3 linked regions of the Oryzias latipes genome follow. The protein of the gene in region 3 interacts with the protein of the main gene of each other region in a pairwise test. Links are inferred from orthologs where the notes say so. Each region holds a gene or a part of one and is shown on either strand. Other genes may lie near its edges.

Region 1 (3,654 bases), on a different chromosome or scaffold from region 3:
TACACCAGGTCGCCATAAGCCCCCCCCCGCTCCACAAAGATGGACAAACAGATCCATAAACGATTTGGTTTCCCTCGTCTGAACTGGCATTTGGCTCAAAACTTTAAGAACTGGAAAGCGCCAATATTCTTCGCCATTTTTGCTTCACCGGTCATTTTTTTGTTAGGAGTGGGTGAAGCTGTAAGGTAGTGGGAGAGCATGTAAATAGAAGGGTGGCGGGCTTATGCGGTTTACGCCAATAATCCCGCCCACAACTCGGGGGTGAATTTCTAATGAGCTGCTGCTCTGCAGACCCTAGAAAGTGACACCAGCATTTTGATTAAGCCTGTAATCATAATTAATTCAGCTCTATTCAATAAGATGTTATTTATATAATATTACAACGCAGGTATCTCAACGTGCTTTTAGGTAGAAAACCTAAAATCAGTTATAAAATACAAAGCTAAATTCACTAGGAAAGCTTTGAAATTAGACCCATAGATGATTGGAGTGGGACTTTTAGAGGCAGAACTGTTTTCTAGGGTTTCATTACCTCTTCATCAGGATTTGGTTCCTTGCAAAAACACGAGTTACAACAATAGAAAAATTCATTTATATTTAATAAATCCTAAAATTGTGCAGATTAGCTTCCTAATTATACTAAATGATAAACTTACCGGTGTCCCCGTTTTGGCTGTTTGACTGTTGATCTCATCAGAACTGGGTTTCTGCTCCGGTTCTTCTGGCTCTCTGGTCTGAACACAAAAGCATCTGTATAATATCTACCATTCTTTGCTACTAATATATAATCAGACATTAAGGGAAGTGAAGTTTTGTACCCTTTTATCCCCACTTTCTGCACGTTTGTTCTGCTCCCCTTTGCCGTTTTGTCGCTCTCTGTCTTTTTCCTTGTGCTTTCCTTTGTCCCGGTCTCTGTGAGAATCTCTGTCTTTGTCTCTTTGCCGATCTCTTGTTCTGTCCTGCTCCTTCTCCTTGTCCCGAGCGCGTCCATTGTGGCGTTCTTGCTCCTGGTCTCGACTCTTTTCTCTTTCTGCTGCGGGCTTTTGGTCGCTGCGATGGCGCCTGTCAGAGTGGTCACGGTCACGCCGGCGCTCCTTCTGCTCGCCCTTGAGCTGCTGATCTTTGGGCTTCACTGTGTCTTTCTCTTCTCGACTGCTGCTGCGCTCGGTTAATCTTTTCTTCCCCTGAAATGGTTGAAGTGAAAAAGAACATAGACAAAAAATACACAGAAAAACAAACAACTGATTAAACAAAAACAAAAAAAGAGGGCATCTGTACTGAGAACTCACATCTCTATCTAGACCATGGCTGCGCTCCTCCCTGTGCCTCTTGTCCTGGGATTTCTCTCGGGATTTGTCCTGGGATTTGTCCTGGGATGTGCCAATCTTGGTTTTTGGGTCCACCTTTCCTCTTGAGAGCACTTGCTTCACTGCTTCATCACTGGATAACTGCAAAAAGATAAAACGAAAATAGAATTCCACTCCTGTGACAAATCAAACCTGAGATGCTTAGCTTTTGTCGAACTGATCTGACTCGCTACTATTTTTCACTCACTTTACAATATTTCTCCACAAGGGAGAAACCTCCAGATCGATAATCACGTTTGTCACATACGTATCTGTAAGTTGTGAGACGTTTTTATGTTGCCAATAACTGTTTCCATATTGTTTAGAGGAAGAAGTCCCAGAGCATCAGTTCATCCGTTTCCTCCCATCTCCAGGGTACAATTAAAGCTTTCCAGGTTTTTCCTGAAGCTAAACAACCATTTCCTACAGAGTGTTGTTAATCTAATGAATGTGAAAAATAGATTTAGGTTTTTGAGTTTTCACACAACAGTTTGGTCTCCGGAGTAACTGAGTTAACATTAAGCAATCATAAAAAATGTCTTTTCTCGTGTTTTTTTTTCTGTGTGTGATCTTTCAGTGACACTGACCTTGTTGAGGCAGCATCTGCCGATGGCCTGCAGCAGCTCGTTGGTTTTCTCCGGTTCGTGCCCAGCAACTATTCGTGCAGGCTTTGCCGTTAACGGCTCGCCACTTACCAACGCCACAACGTCTATGGCTTTCTGGAGGAAAGACATTCTTGCTTCTTTGCCCTGAAAAAAGAAAAGGATCACCAGAAAGGTGAGTACAAAAACATATCTGGAAAAAGAAGGAATTCAAGGGTTCTCCCTTTTTTATTTTTTATTTTTGTAAGCACCACTTTCTAGTTTACCAGTGAATGTTGTGACCATTAAATAACAATTATACATAAGAGGAACCAGCAATTTAAAAATTGCTCCTCTTTGTAAGACGGAAATCAAAAGGCATATTTTAAAAACGTTTACGGAAAACCTTTTTGTTTTGTGAGACGGCAGAAATTCATGCTTCCAAAAACTAATAGGACAAATCTGCAAAAAAGCACAATTAGTTAAAGATTATTCACTCCATCCTTTTAGGTTTTCTAGAAAATGCTAAACTAAAAAGTACTTTCATGTCACCTAACTGTAAGAGCGTCTCTACTTTGCTTTTTTTTGGGTACAATCTGTAATTTAATGCTACATATTCAAGATAGGATCTAAGTAATGGTCCTGCACAAAAGACTCTTAATGGTTGAAATTAAATGAAAAAGAAAATGGGGAAAAAAAACACAAGTGGGTCCAATTTTTGTCTCTTTGATGTGAGGCACCAAATGATGTCCCAGGAGGATACATTACTTCACAAATCACATGAACGGGGATCCATTTTTTCCACTTTTCCTCCAGCCTCACTCTAACATAAATCCACTATTTGAAAAGTTGTAAAATGCAGGTTTGGATGAGAGCTCTCTGTTCACAGAGAAACAGCAACCCTGAAAAATTACAAATGTTTGGTAACAATAATCAGTTCTCATCAATTTAAAAATAAAAAAATGATAAAACAAATAAGTGAAAAATACATTTCTAGATGGTCAGATAAATGATTTCAACGATGCTTGATCTGAAACTTGCTTGAGTGCAGCTTTCTGTTGGTGGAATTTGGCAGAATTCAGGCAAAACTGAAGTGAGTCCCACTTACTAAGGATAAGCACTACTACAGGCTCATGTGCCAACAGCCGACTAGAGTTTTAACACCTCAGAAAACCTTCTCAGAGCCAGAGCCTGTCACCAAAGAGCTTCTCTTTCAGCCTGGGTGTTCTCTTACGCCATGCGCAGACGGCGCAGACTGCGCAGATGGCGCAGACATATTTCAGCTACACAAGGTCGACCTGGTCTTCTGTTACTTTTCAGAACAAAAAGCATTTGTGCAAAATAATAATAATTAGAACAGATTAGTTATTAAATAAGTCAGCAGAACATGAACAAACCAAAAAATGTGCTACACAATGTTACAATTTGTTTATGCTAAAGTTATGTAGAATAGTTAAGTTTAAAATTATCCTTATTGGAATTATTTACTATATGCAAAAATGTACAACATTTACTTTAATACATATATATATTTATTTTAATAATGTATGTTTATATGTAATGTTAAATATATTCGTTTTTATATTTTTTTACTTGAGTAAGATGTTCTATTTATCATCCATGTTTTCCTACAGATATTCCCTTCATTTTATATATAGATATAGAAGTTTATTTTCTTTTAGGGGGACTTTCCGCTCTTTATTTTGTCAAATCTAACCGGCTCTCCT
Region 2 (3,654 bases), on a different chromosome or scaffold from region 3:
CACTTGATTTTGGAATTGTAAATTCAGACAGCACTAGAAAATGGCGAACGCACTGTGTAGTGACTACTGAAGGAATTCGGACACAACCTGTGTATTTTTCTCTGTGTCTTACTACCAAGGTTTAGAGTTAGCGAAGTCACAGTAACATTTCTTTTAGCTGTATCAGTCTGGTTTCTTTTATGTGTTACTAACAAGTTTGGGAGTTACATCTATTATTAATACACTTATGTGGTTAGCATTCCCAAGACTATGTAGTTTTTACGTGTTACTAACAAGTTACTTACAAGTTACACAGGACTTTGCGAAATCCCAGTAACGTTTGTTTTAGTGGTATCAGTCTTTTTTTCACGTGTTGCAACCAAAGTTGTGTGTCACAGGTATTGCAAATTTGCTGACGTGTTGTGGATTCAGACTGTTTTACTGTGTTTTTTTTTCATGTTACTACCTAGGTTGGGAGTTAGCTTAGTGACAGTAATGTTTGCTTTAGCAGTATCAGTATTTTTAAACAAGGTTACAGATAGCCTATTGTGACGTGTGGCCTTTCACAAATTCTAGAAATACTGTGAATGCAGTTATTAAAGTTTGACTGACTGACTTATGTTTGCCTCCTTTTTCTTGCTAAATGTGGGCTCATAGTTCGGTGCGCCTTTTATATGACATCATTTCAAAAATAGACCATTTATTGACAGGGCGTCTTATATTCCGGTGAAGAATATATGTTAGATTTTGTGTTTGCATTCAAATCCACTATATTAAATGCATATTGTCCTCTTGCAGCAGCAGTCTGGCAGTTCCAAAGAGGCCACAGAGAACTTGGAGGTGGCCATACTGAAGACATGTCACAGCATGGGAGACCTGAGGCGGGAAGTGAGCAGCGGCCTCTTTTAGAGTCACAATGCCACCCTCCCTGTTCCACAAACGTCTCTCATTTCTGCATCCTCTCCTTTTATTTCTTATGCTATTCAACTGTGTGCCCTCCTCTCAGCTGCATAACGTGGCAGTGGGCCGGGCCTCGGATTTGTTGAAGGTTCATGGAGAGCAGCTGCCTCTAAGGGCTCTCAAAGCTGCGGGTGCTGAGGGAAACCTGGAGGCAGTAGCCGATTATTCGCGCAAGCTCACCGAGCAAAAGGAGCAGCTGGTGGAGGTAAGCGGTTGATGCGCAAAAGATGCTACAGAGAAAAGGAAAAATTGAGATTTATATTAGTTTCAATTGTTAATTTTTTTGTGCAACTGTAGTTAATACTTTACCAGCAAAATAAAAAAAACACACACACAAAATAATAGCTTTTATGATTTCCTGTGTTTTTATCCAGACATGCCGACTGTTATGCCATGTATCGTGTACAGAACCACTGGAGATTACCTGCATTCATGCAGAAGAGACCTTCCATGTTATCGGCCCACAGGTATAACCCACTGATTATTATCTGGAACAGGGGTGCCCAAATCCAGGCCTCAAGGGCCAGACTCCTGTTGGTTTTCCAAAAACCCTGTCTTCTCTGGTGCTGATTACCTGGATCAGGTGGGTTTAGCCAATAAGGAACTTCAATGGCAGGTTGGTTGGAAAAGATGTCGGACACCGGCCCTCAAGGCCTGGATTTGTGCACCCCTGATCTAGACTGACTAGCAATGCTGCCTAATTTTCTGTTTGAGTGGCAAACAAAAACATGATGGACTTGAGTTATTTTTAAAGCCCCTGTAACTCCAACATTTTATTGCATATTAGTAAAGTTTAATGGGTCAAAACTGGGATATAAAATGAGACACGATTCCCTAAAGAGTGCAGATCTATATCCTGTGCAGAGGGTGGGAAAAACTCTTCTGTGTCTGGCTTTGCCCTCTATTCCTGCCATCCATTCAGAATATTTGAGAACATGTTGTCCACCAAATCTCACATCTCACATATAGTTATATTTGCTCTCGGAAACCATCCGTACCAGTAATTATCCAGCAGAGTAGAATGTTCCTGTCCCATGGTGCTTATGTCAGGCCACACACGACTCTGCAGTAATGACTCAGCTCCTAAGTTTAAAGATAAACCAATCAGGAAAGGTGCCATTCAGGGTGCTGCAGGTGATTTCACTCTCCACATGCTCAGGTAATATTAGGGAGGCCAAAAGGATAATTGCCAATCAGATACAACACTCCATAGGATGAACACGGGAGGGCTGTGAGTACAGATATACATAATTTCCACATTTTCTTAATCGTTTTCTCTCCATTTATTGGGTCCATAGATTGGAATCGATTGCAAATATCAATATAACACTACACACCCAAAATAAAGAAAGGTGGGCACCTTTATTTAACACGACATCCCGTGATCGTGGAAAAGATATTTGAGTGTCAAATCAAGTAAAGAAAACATCTAAGGAGATTACGGAAGTTACCAGAATTAGGTTAGGAACGGTTAAACGCAAGATCAAAAATTGGAAGGATAGTGGGAATCTATCGTCTCCAAGAAAGAAAAAGTTCAGTTTAGTGATCGGCAACCCCTTAATGTTTGGTGAAATTAAATTGACGACATGACAGTAGAAAAGTGAAAGTAAGAGCATTACCGCACATACAATGCAAAGGAAACTCAAGGGACTGGGACTGAACAGGTGTTGCCTTAAGATAACCTCTGAGAGTGAGGCTAATTGGAAAAAAAGCTTCAAGCTGCAATGGAGTTTAAATATTGGATACTGGATCAATGGAAGAAGGTCATGTGGTCCAATGAGTCCAGATTTACCCTGTTCTAGAATGATGGACACATCTGGATAAGAAGAGAGGCAGATGAACTGATGCATCCATCATGCCTAGTGCCTACTCTATAGGCCTGTGAGGCAGGGCTATGACCGGAAGTTTAGGTTAGTTCAAAGAATGAGTTCAGCTGACTACCTGAATACAGTAGTCCAAAATAAGTACTCATCTTTACTAAATATTATAGATGTTTTAAAGTTGTAAAATCAAATCAACACTTTATACACCTTTCTCGAACATGAACATTTTCACACTTTTCTGTCTTGTTTAAACTCTCAAAGTTCAAACCTTTTATAGAAAAATTTATTCAGTTCTATGGAATAAAAGCAAACATGTGATCGCGATCGAAAATGTATTTAAAATTGGCAAACAGGACGCAGTCTGTACAGGAGACATGACAGAGGAGATCAATTGACAATGGTCTCCAGCCAATTAGGATGCAGAACATAGTCCGCTGTTAAGCTACCATACAATGCTACCGTAAGCAAACTTTTATCCGTCATAGTAAGCAGGTGATTAGAACCTTCAGCTTCTCCAGAACTTCTCACTAAGACCAGTAGGTGGGCTCACATCACCCCCGATTTAAAAATACCTGCCATTGTAAATGAGAACTGGACTGTTTGGAGGTTGGGGGGTTGGGGGTTGTGTGTGGGTCCGGGGGAAGGGCACAAGCTCTATTTTAACATTCTTTTGCTTGTTCCTATATAGGCCTGCACAATATACCGCAAATTTATCGTTATCGCAATATCCAGCTCTGCAATATGCATATCGCAAAAGACGGCGAATATCGCAATAAATCGCAAACCCAAAATGTGTTAAAACAATCTTCTAGCAGCTTGAAGCATTTAACGAATCAAATAAATCCCTTTATGCTTTGACCAATCAGATGGACGCCTTCCCATTGTTGACCAA
Region 3 (3,754 bases):
AGCGAGTGAAAAGGAAGAAGGCTTTTTACCCAGAATTCATGAGTAAAATCTCCAGAAAAGAGAATAACAGCTGTTGGAGTTTGAGTCTGCAGTCCTGCTATGGTTGTTAGACTTCTAGCCTGCTTCAGCGTGACCGCGTTTAGGGATGTACATACAGGCCGCGGTCTCGCGCGTGAGCTCCCTCAGGAGTGAGTATGTCTGATGCTAATGGCTAGTAGCTTAAGATTCTGGCAGCATATGGAGACTCGTCCACTTACATGAGGGGTGACTAACTGTTGATTTACAGAAAGGAACCTTCACCCCTTGTTTACCTCTACATTTGGGTCCCTGTCCATTGGAAAACATGGGAAAATACATGACACATACACATGCAGATAATCAATTATTCTCAGTCATAAATAGGTTCTGTTACATACAGTACACGACACACTGAAAACATTAAATATTCCATCTGTCAAAAGGAGTTTGATAGCATGAAAGGCAGTGGGAGGAAGTGAACTTTTTTCACTTGTTTTGTCCAACAGCTGAGCAAACACATCAGAGCTGAAGGCTTCTTGTGTTGGACAGATGCTGCTGTTACCATAGATGGTGATGAATCTTCTGACACAAACATTTCAACACGTACATCATACAACTACATGTGTCTGAATTCTTTCACCATTTTCTCAGCATGTCTAAGTCTGCAATTCCAAAATCCAGTGTCTCAGAAGTTTCCCAGAAGTCCCTGTAAAAAATCAGTGTGCATCAATGCTCACCAGAATGGCGACTATAGACCACAATGCACTGCGTTTGGACAGTTTATCATTTAGGAGAATTGTATAAATGTATCTCTTATAGACTATTTATGTTTTCATCATCAGAACGCAGTGGATTCATTAAACTTCTTCATAAGATGTTCCTATATGAACAGCCCCCCCACGCTCAGGCTCCACCCTGTCGCCCAGCCGGTCTTATTCTGGAGCCCCACATTCAGCTGTATACCCCCCCCCCCCCCCATCCCTGACTGTGTGGAGCTTCTGCAACATTGTGTAGCTAATAATAAACACTAGCAAGAACCACCTCAACTGGGGGGTGGGTCTAATAATAGTCTGTTTGTGAGATCTTAGGGAGGGGGGGTGAGATTTTTTACATTTCAGATTTCTTTAAAGCTGCCCCCACCCCCCAGCTCTGGTTTCGACCAATCCAGATTGGAACATTTCTGACTTTGACCCACTTGGAGTCCTGAAGGGTCAAAATGTGACTCCACCGCTCCTGGGGTGTCCGGTTTTCCGTGGTGTGGGTGGGGCCTCAGCCATCTCCTATTTAGGGGTCAGAATGACCCACCCTCCTCCACCTGCTCCTGTCCATCTGCCACTGGGTGACAGCCCTCTTTCTGCTGCCAGCCTTCTCCTTCTAACCTGCCTGTTGCTCCTTGAGGCTGTTTGGTTCCTACATCTGGTCGTCCCAACCGCCGCCTCTCACCATGGCCGAGGGCGCTCGCCCCGAGGATTACTGCGACGAGCCGGGAGAAGATGACTTTGGAGAGATCATCAAGAGTCGCTCAGGTACGGATGTGTGAGCTGAGCTCCACTTCATGTTCTTTCCTGAGCAGATTCCTTTGAGGTTTCAGGCCTTCTGGGTGGTCAGATGTTTTCATGGCAGAAGATTAATGTCTGAATCTAATAATAAATATGTAAGCAGATGGCCTGTGGGACAAAAAGGTAAAAATGAAGAGAAACTTCCTGATCTTGAAAGTCTTGTAGTCTTTTCTGGTCTTCAGAAGACCCAGGAGTTTAGTTTTCCAGCCTGACGTGATCATCTGACTTTTTTAGACACACATCCTCGTAAAACATTTCTAGAAACATGATTATTGACTGGAGAATTCTGGATTTTGGTTTGTTTCTATCCATCAGAATAGATTATAGAATAGCGTTCTGCATCTGTCAGATGAAATGTTACACTTTGGTGGTGGTTTGCCCTCCTTTCTCATACTGTGGGCTTCACAATCTGAACATCAGAAACTGATTATTTCCATGAGAATTCAACATTTCACATTTCCATCTCCACAAATGTTCAATCCTTATAGAAGCTATGAAAACGATTATTTATTAATATTATAGTAAATAAATATTTTTATTTAAAAAATATGGTCTACTTTACTCTAAATGTTGTTATCTTAGTTAGATCAGGATGCCTCTGAGCGATGAATCCTACATCCAGATGGTACTGAAGTCCCACAGGGCTCCGATTAGGGACCAATTTTGTCCAACAGTAATAATACTGTTACCCGTATCCCTTACCCGTTACCACCAGTACCACTGATACCAGTGAAACCAAAATACAAGAAAAATGATCTGTACGTTTTTCTCTGAGTTTAAATCAATCAGTTCCAAAGGTTTCAAAGTGGACATATTGTAAAGTCCACTGGTTGTAAGGTCCTCATATAAAATGTGTGTGTATATGGTATTAGAGCAGGGGTGGCGAACACGCGGCTCTGGAGCCGCACGCGGCTCTGGGCCAATGAGCTTGCGGCTCTTTGCGTCTCATCATATTTTCAATAAACTGTGCCTCATTTCGTAATTTTTTCCTTCTTAAACCACACTCAAACCATCAGAGGGTATTAAAAAGAAATAACAATAGTAATTTGGCAGTGTGTGTGTTTTGAAAGCGTTCATCATAGACTCCAGGATTGTAGAACATAATAAAACAGCTGATCACGTGACGTCACAGCTGGAGGGCTAAAAGTTCTTCATAGAGTTTACGTGGTTGTCACGTGACTACAGCTTCAGCGGAGGATCTTCATCTTCTGCTGCAGATCAGTGAGGAGGATGAAGGCTTGGTTTATCTGAGGCTCTTCATCCTCGCTGTCACCTCGGGGGGGCTGCGTTCTGGGGCGGGGGGGAGGAGTCAGAAGCAACGGGAGGCGGTCAGGCGGCCAGTGTTTCGGTACCGGCGGAGCGTCCAGACGTTCAAACGCGGACTGCAGCCGTGAGAGCGCCGGGTCACCAACGCGGAACCGTCACGGAGGTTCGGTTCGGGTCCGCGAGGCTCAGCCGCTCCTCTGCGGATGGACCGGAACCTCAGCCAGGGCTGAGGCGACGCGCTCCCAGGTGAGCCGCACGCGCTCACTGACGTCAGGCTTTGGGCTGAAATTCCTGCGTGTCAGGTGAGTTCACCAAACGTGCACGCGGCTGTGGCGTTCTGATGACATGCTGAGAGACAGGAGTGCGTCGGTGAGCGCGTGCAGGCAGAGGATTAGTCCAGTTTGAATGCTGGCGGACATGCGCAGATGGTAGTTACATGGAAGACTGTTTCTGTCAAACTTTGCTTTGCACGCTGTGCGCATGCGCTGTCTGTATACTGAGGGGAAAAGGCTGTTGCTCATCAGCACTACAGCACATCTGAAACCGGACCAGACCCACCTGTTGATGAGGAGGTCTGGCACCAGTTTGGGCCGGGCCCATGTCAGAACTCTGAACATCTGTAGATGCGTCAGAGCGGCTGTTACCTGGACTTCCTCCCTCCTCTACGTGAGGACGGGGTGGGGGTCTCTTCTTGGTACATGAGCGGAGGATGAGATCAGATTCAGCCCTGGGGGGGTCTGTGTTGCTGTAGTTCTGGTCCATTCATGCTCACCTTTCTGCTCTGGCCCCTCCCCCTTTGTGGGAGGGCGGGGCCCTTTGCTCTCTACTACTGGCTGTTGTTGTCTAGAGTTGGGGGCATGTTGGGGAACCCTGGTTGGAGGGTGCTCAGGTCCCCCCCCCCCCCCACACAC

What was found.
Region 1: the proteins of dmd (region 3) and traf3ip1 interact in a two-hybrid assay, tested with the Homo sapiens proteins (2 studies listed by BioGRID and IntAct). The link is inferred for Oryzias latipes from reciprocal best matches to the Homo sapiens genes DMD and TRAF3IP1.
Region 2: the proteins of dmd (region 3) and ctnnal1 interact in binary tests that used the Homo sapiens proteins (3 or more experiments, as listed by UniProt). The two-hybrid records come from large-scale screens. The link is inferred for Oryzias latipes from reciprocal best matches to the Homo sapiens genes DMD and CTNNAL1.

The regions. Positions count from the first base shown.
Region 1 is NC_019879.2:26,421,953-26,425,606, forward strand, and holds part of traf3ip1 (TRAF3-interacting protein 1), read right to left. Parts: intron 2,096-3,654; coding exon 1,934-2,095; intron 1,449-1,933; coding exon 1,290-1,448; intron 1,185-1,289; coding exon 819-1,184; intron 735-818; coding exon 657-734; intron 554-656; coding exon 533-553; intron 1-532.
Region 2 is NC_019869.2:9,189,286-9,192,939, forward strand, and holds part of ctnnal1 (alpha-catulin), read left to right. Parts: intron 1-777; coding exon 778-867; intron 868-985; coding exon 986-1,144; intron 1,145-1,313; coding exon 1,314-1,406; intron 1,407-3,654. UniProt on the Homo sapiens protein: May modulate the Rho pathway signaling by providing a scaffold for the Lbc Rho guanine nucleotide exchange factor (ARHGEF1).
Region 3 is NC_019860.2:133,536-137,289, forward strand, and holds the start of dmd (dystrophin), read left to right. Parts: upstream 1-1,313; 5' UTR 1,314-1,462; coding exon 1,463-1,544; intron 1,545-3,754. UniProt on the Homo sapiens protein: Anchors the extracellular matrix to the cytoskeleton via F-actin. Ligand for dystroglycan.